Linked DNA regions of Coturnix japonica. The protein of the gene in region 1 purifies or fractionates together with the protein of each later gene. This does not show direct contact. Links are inferred from orthologs where the notes say so. Each region holds a gene or a part of one and is shown in the gene's direction. Other genes may lie near its edges.

Evidence for each region.
Region 2: the proteins of DDX17 (region 1) and DROSHA purify together in Homo sapiens (co-immunoprecipitation; 3 studies listed by IntAct, with this or other methods). This does not show direct contact. The link is inferred for Coturnix japonica from reciprocal best matches to the Homo sapiens genes DDX17 and DROSHA.

Annotation. Positions count from the first base shown.
Region 1 is NC_029516.1:46,430,702-46,434,525, forward strand, and holds part of DDX17 (probable ATP-dependent RNA helicase DDX17), read left to right. Parts: intron 1-7; coding exon 8-107; intron 108-240; coding exon 241-374; intron 375-1,108; coding exon 1,109-1,174; intron 1,175-1,463; coding exon 1,464-1,605; intron 1,606-3,416; coding exon 3,417-3,577; intron 3,578-3,676; coding exon 3,677-3,824. UniProt on the Homo sapiens protein: As an RNA helicase, unwinds RNA and alters RNA structures through ATP binding and hydrolysis.
Region 2 is NC_029517.1:60,505,420-60,509,039, reverse strand, and holds part of DROSHA (ribonuclease 3), read left to right. Parts: intron 1-687; coding exon 688-780; intron 781-1,584; coding exon 1,585-1,631; intron 1,632-3,620. UniProt on the Homo sapiens protein: Ribonuclease III double-stranded (ds) RNA-specific endoribonuclease that is involved in the initial step of microRNA (miRNA) biogenesis.

The DNA of each region.
Region 1 (3,824 bases):
GTAATAGTATGAAGTTGAAGAACTGAGAAGGAAGAAAGAGATAACAATTCGAGGAATGGAGGGCTGCCCCAAGCCTGTGTTTGCCTTCCACCAATGTAGCTTTCCACGTAAGTGTTTTACCTTTCTTTAAGAAAATCAGGATTACTCAAAAGCAGTAGTATCTGTTTCTAAAAGGTTTTCTGAAAATGTATTTAGCCTCAGTTGTCCTCAAATAAATTTATTCCTTCCTTAAATGTTTAGAGTATGTGATGGATGCACTGATGGACCAGAATTTCACAGAACCCACTCCAATTCAGTGCCAAGGCTTTCCACTTGCTCTCAGTGGTCGTGATATGGTGGGCATTGCTCAGACTGGCTCTGGGAAGACACTCGCAGTACGTATTCTTCCCTTTCATCTCCATGCTTACTTTCATTGTTGCCTTGTGGAAATTACCCTTGGCTGCTTGTTACTAGTGTTTGGTCTTAGTACTATAGGCATAAAGTGAGGTGATTGCATATTTTTAAAGCCTTCTTTATTGTATCATGGGTGAGCCTCAGCTCATCTACCCTGTCTTGTTCACAGAAGTGTTTTTTGCATGGTTCTCTTTTGATGTTGAAATGCTTCTATTTTGTCCATGCTTATGGTGTGGATTAAGAAATAGTATGTGCTTTATAGTGTATTTGTCTTACTAAATGTGCAAGTCCAAAGAAATGATGGTTGAGTCTTCATTAATATATTAATCTTATCTGCACTGGTCAAGAAGATATTTCCTTCATTATGAAAAGCATTGTTTAGAGCCAGCATGACTCAGTTCTGCTAATTTAGGCTCCAAATATAAATGTGCCTTTTCTTCAGAGGCACTTAGCAGCCAAGTTTTTCGCCTGTGCCAAAAGCAGATGAGGTGGCTATATCCAGCAGCTCTGGAAATCTCATCTTTTGAATGAATACAAGTATGGTTTAGTAAATGTTAATACAGATGAGATTTATTCCTCTCTCTGAAACATGTAGTGGCTCTTGAAGGGATGTTAGGTTATGTGGGCTTTTCTCATGGCCCAGTTGTCACAGCAAGTGGTCATTAGCATTGAATATTTAAGTCCTCTGTCTTGACATAAAATTTTTTTGTTTCAGTACCTGTTGCCTGCAATTGTTCACATCAACCACCAGCCATACTTGGAGAGAGGGGATGGCCCAATTGTAAGTGCTTGTCAAATCTCTTCTTTCATCTGTATGATGTGGCAACATTAATGAGATGTGTGCTTTAATTGATATATCAGAATAGCAAGTAGAGCACGTTTACAATCACAGTGTGAACATCCCACTCATTAGTTGAAATTCTGTGCGATTGCTGACATAATCTAAAGATATTTCTATGTTTTAGCTAATAGAGAGCAGATGGTCTTGCTTTGCTTATGGTATTTGAGTAGAGTCCTTGAGTTAGGGCTGTGTCTACAGCTTGGCTAACCTGAATTGATTCCTTCTGCAGTGCCTGGTTCTTGCACCTACCAGGGAGTTGGCCCAGCAAGTGCAGCAGGTTGCTGATGATTATGGCAAATGTTCAAGGCTGAAGAGTACCTGCATTTATGGAGGAGCACCCAAAGGTCCCCAGATCAGAGATCTAGAAAGAGGTAATTTAATTTAGATTTTAAAATGTGTGGTTGCAAATTTCCAGAGTGGTGAATTTGGAAGCAATTTTAAAGCCTGTTTGAAGAGGTATTGGTGGTTGAGTAGCTGTCTCTTCTCCCCCTTGGAATGATAGCGCATGTGGTAATTCTCTGTTGTGTAATGACTTATTTGGATATTAGACATTCTTTATGATTTATCTTTGGACTTGTGAAGGTCATTGGAACTTGTTCTTAAGGATTAAGCTCACTGCTCATGGCACCTCCATAAAGTTCTGCAATTGCCTTTCTTAACATAGTAAAGGGATGTAGTTTAGAATAAGAAGGTGCCATGTTTCTGCAGCAACAATAGTAGCACTCTGGCGATTTAGCCTTGTATCAGGGGCTATCTGCGTGTCATTTCAAAGGCAGGAATGTTCTGAGGGTTTAACCTTCTCTAGGCTAAAAAAAAATGGGTGTAATTCTGTGAGAAGATGTAAGATGAAACTCACATGCTCAGATCTGCTCAAGAAATCACAAATCTTTACTTAGTGCTGTGGTGTGAAAAGTTATTATTGAACACTGCAGTATCAGGATAAAATTGTGTGGTAGAAGGCTGTGGGATAGTTCCGTTCAATAGAACGGCAGTGCACTCCTGTTCAGAAGCAGCATCATCAGTGGGTGAGACAGTATTAGATGAGAAGACGGTGAAGGGGTCAACTTGTTTTTTCGGAAGCAGAAATTTTACCTTGTTGGTTATAGAACATGGGCAGATAAGAGTGTCTTTGGAGCATTACTTAGTATTTACTGCTGCAAAGATTGTTGAATAGAGTTCATAGAACACACTTTTGACTCAGTTTTGCTTTTCTGGATATCTGGTGAATTTGCTTTGGGAGGAATACATCACTGACAATAGAGCGCCGGTTTTTTCAGTGTCTTTAGCAAACCTATGACTCCATTAATAGGCTGATTCTTGCATGAGCTTTGTCAGATTAATCAGCTTCAAGGAGCCCAAGTTGACACAAACAAGAATCAGGGCTGCCACAGCATACTGTTCATCTGAAACTGAAGCATCTATGAAAGTCTTGGGGTTTTGTGCTGCTTTTTGTTTGTTCTTTTTCTTTGATTCACTTCTTGGCTTAACTTAACATTTATGGGTATTTCTGTGATACCAAGGAACTCGCCTCCGAGGCTGGGAGGTTGGTGGAAAGGGGTCCTTCATTTTAAGGAATGTATAAACATACTTGATGCTTCTTTGTGAATACTTGAATTCTGTTTTGGTGCTAACAGTCATGGGCTTGGTGATTCACAATTATAGCATAATTATTCAGTATTAAAAGCCATGCTTTAACTTTCCGTGACTTAAAATTAAAAGGACAAAAGTAGAAGCAAAACTGATTTGACTTGTGCGGCAAGGGATACACTGATGCTTGTTAAGCAGGTTGAGTTTAGTTGTAGCTCACTATTATTTTTCCTAGAGAGCTCTAGATTGTATAATCGTGGATGAAAGGGCATCAGGGTTGCGTAGAAGCTTATTTTGGGGCCGCTGTTGTTCTGTGCTCTTAGCTGGTGTTTTCTGACAGTAAGCTTTTAGCTTCTGTACTGCATTTATTGTTCTAATGGCACTGCAACAGTAACTTCAGAATGGGAAAAAAAATGAATTATTAAAAGAAACTAGGGCTTCTACTGAAATGACTCAATCTTGGATATGGATGAGGGTGGTGCTTTTTTATCTTATTTAAATGGTTTTGCTCTAGAAGGTGATTCATTCTGACTAAAAATACCAATTGACATTCAAATGAAGAGCCTTATTCTTTTTTCCTCCTTCTGTTTCAAAGGTGTGGAGATCTGCATTGCTACACCAGGTCGCTTGATTGACTTCCTTGAGGCAGGAAAGACCAACCTTCGTCGGTGTACATACCTTGTGCTGGATGAAGCAGATAGGATGTTGGACATGGGCTTCGAACCCCAAATTCGCAAAATTGTTGACCAGATCAGGGTGTGTGAACCTTGTAAAAAAAAAAAAAACAAAAAAAACAGCCTCCTTCAGCTTCCCATCCAAAGTCCACAACCTTAAACCTTTTTCCTTTTCTCTTAGCCTGACAGGCAGACTCTAATGTGGAGTGCCACCTGGCCCAAAGAAGTGCGCCAGCTCGCTGAGGACTTCCTGCAGGACTACGTTCAGATCAACGTAGGGAACTTGGAGCTGAGCGCCAACCACAATATCCTGCAGATAGTGGATGTGT
Region 2 (3,620 bases), on another chromosome or scaffold:
GAACTCAAACTGACAGCAGGGAGAGATTTGGGACAGAAGGAAGAGACAGCAGAAGAAGCAAATTCATTGCATGTCTGGGGAATTATCTTTTTCCCCTGTAGGTGGTTGTTGATGCATGTCCTAGACATTCCTAGTTCAAAAGGGAAGTTTGTTTTGTGACAGAAACTCTAACTTTTCAAAGCTGATGGAAAAGTACTGTGACAGTTCATGGTGTAGTGAGTTACCGTGTCCTGCATTAAGTCCTCGCCAGATGAACAACTCTCTGTGATTAAAATTATAGAGTGCACAATCATATTGGTGTGCTTATTTGCAATTTCACAGATTCATGTAATTCAAGTGATTTTATTCCAAGTGTATTCAGTGTTTCAGCGCTTTGTTCATAGTGTGTGTTTTTTCCGATAGGTGAAAGTTTTAATTTTCACAGAGTGCTCCTGTCTAAATGTTGAAGAATAAGTACATTCGATATGAATGAGATGCATTTTATGTAAATTACTTCTCTTTGTTGCACACGCACCATATGGGGGATCTGTGGGTTAATGTAGTTTATAAAGCCATCCTTCAACTCCATGCTATGCATTAGTTCCACTAAATGTATTTACCGGACTGAAAGCTTGGTGATGTATGTGCCACTGACAGATTCTGCTTTTTAATACTTCCTGTCTGAATAAATCATGTCTCTCATTTCAGGACTCTGCAGACAGTGGGACCATCTCATGCCAGGACGTACACAGTAGCTGTCTATTTCAAAGGGGAAAGAATAGGATGTGGTAAAGGCCCAAGGTATAGTGGAAAAAATTAATCTCATGCAGTTAAACTTTTATCTGTATGTGACAATGTCCAGAATGACTCACCATGATGAAGTTTGGTAATAGTCTGGTTAGCCTTAGAAACTAAAACTGTGGGGCATTCTTTGGGTCATTCTGAGTTTCTGCATCAGAAGTACCGTAAGACCTGAATGTTGGTGTACTTCTGGGTCTTAAGCTTCATTTTTTTGTGAACTTCAGAACCAGGTGGCCAGCAATAATCTCCTATTTGCTGCTCTCAGAGTGGAAACTGCAGAACAAACTGCTGGAAATAATAACTTCATCTTTGGCTTTAATGCTAGATTATTGTTCAGTATAGGCTGGCAAAGTTGGAGTGCAAAATTCTTAATTTTCATCAAATGTTATCACTTTAGGTATTTTGGAATATCTTCTAAAATTACACAGTTTACAACCACACACACAAAGTAAATCATCTTATTTTGTGCTACTAAAACTGGTAGTGTTTATAAAAATATCTTTGGCTTCTGAGAGTTCATGCCTCTGATTTTGTTCCTTTTTTTTGGTCACAGCTGAAAAACTTGAGCAAAGGATAAAGTAGATTATTTTGTTAACATTATTGATCTAAGTTTTAAAGTGTTCTATTGGAACTGTCGTGCTATTGCTCTCATAATCATAGAAAGGATAATATATACTCTGGAAATTTCTGGTTATCCAAAGAGTTTTGTAATAAAACTCTGTCTTGTAATAACATTACTAGATACTTCAGTTTATTCTGTACAAGTTAAATCATATTTAACATGTTTTTGTTTGACTTTCATAGTATTCAACAAGCAGAAATGGGAGCTGCGATGGATGCACTTGAAAAATGTAAGATATTGGAGCAACAAAAAAACATTGCCTTTAGTTTGGACTTCACTGTAAGGTGCAGGCTTTGTCTGGGAACAAAATCAAACTCAGAATGTACTGAATGCTTTCAGATTCTGATTAACAGGTTTGCTTCTTAGTCCTTGTAAGCAATTTTTTAAACGCCTATGTAGGCATCATTTGTCATTTCAAAGAGAGTTGACACGTTACAGCAAATGTATCATGAAGGGAACCATGTGTTGTAGTCTCATTTAGATTTTATTCCATACTTTAAAATGCAGTGGGATAAACCTTCTTAGTCTGACAGTGAGGCTATCTATCTTATGTTGTAATTCAGAGGAAGAGGAAAATTAATTTTAAATTGCCAATTTGATTGCACATTTTACAGTAGATAGGTTAAAATCTAACAGGCAGGTCCCCATTCAGTGTAAGCTGATACTTTCCTGTTAACAACAGTTCGTATCAGCTGAAGGTACAGTGATCCTTGCCTGCATCTTTCAAAATTATGCAAAGGAATGCCAGCATGGGAACAGTTGCAATGAAATTTGAAGTGAAAGAAGTGAGCGTATGCAGACGTCTTATATGAAGACCAGTCTCTTGAGTTAAAGTGCAGGTATTGCAAACAAATAGATGACGTGTTCTGTACAGCAAAAGAAGCTCTCTGTGTGGAGAGGCTAAAGGTACATTTTTACAACTGATTGAAATATCTGCAGCTCCCCAGATGCCAAAGTTTTTTAATCTATTATGTCTGCATGTGGAAATTGCAGGACTTAGACTTTCAAGAGACAATGAATCCCTGTCATTCCAGGGATTTCAGACTTATTCATATCCACCTGCTAGGTATAGGCATCTCACCCGCAGTAAATCTGACGAGTAGAAGATGCAACTTCTCCAGCAAACAACTGCAGAATCTTCTGGAATTTTTCTTTCTGTTTACTTCTAAGGGTTCACTCTCAAAGAGCTGTGAACTTCACCCCCTGTTTTAGTGTAAGACTTCTCACTGCTCTTTTCTGACATACATTTTGGCTTGGGTGCCATGGACTTATCTAGGTAGAGGGGATCTCTAGAGGTCTCTATTCCATCTCTTTCTCAAAGCAAGCTCTACTTTGAAGTTTGATCATACTTCTCGGGTCAAATTTTGAGTCTCTTTAAGAGATAGAGGCTCTATAGGCCCTATAGGCACTGGTATGAAGATTTATGGAGAGGTTTCAGGGTTTTTTTTGTCTTGTTTTAAGGAATATATATGTAGTTAATTTCAAGTAAAATTCATTTTCATGTACCTCTTTATACATAAGTTGCTCTGAAGTTAACACCTATTTATTTCCATGGAAACTACACAGTTCCCAACAATGCTATTTGACAGAACAAATTCTCAGCTACAAAACAGTTTTTCAGCCAGTCACCGCCATCAGCTATACATTTTTGCCAGCAATGGACAGCCTGCATGCCATGCTCTTAAACATCAGTGGAGGTGATCTGCTGCCCCCACTACTGAAACACACCACCCTCTGCCTCACTGTGTTCACATGTGCTGTTTGGTCATCATAACTCTGGCAAGCTTCAGTGAATGTCAGTGGGTGCCATTGTTTCTGCATGGGAGAAATCAGTGATGCACCATTGCTTTGTATGCACTTCCATGTCAGATGCTATTCTGTCAAACTGCCCCTCTGCTGCCATCTGTCACATGGCAACAAAATGTAATGGAACATTGGTGGGAAGGTTCAACTTCTACTACCATACCACTAACATCTGCCTCTGACCTCCCGGGCCAACAAAATAAAATAAGAGGCATTACTTTTGGATCGGGGCTCATATATCTTATAGTCATGATATGTTTATTACATAAATTTATTTCCCTATATCATAAATGAGTTATAAATGAAACTGGTTGCTACCGAGCTGAGTTCTGCAGGTTCTTAAAGAATCACGTTACAGGCACAGCGCTGAAAATGCAATTTCTGTTTTATGGTGCATACAAGCAACAAAATCTCC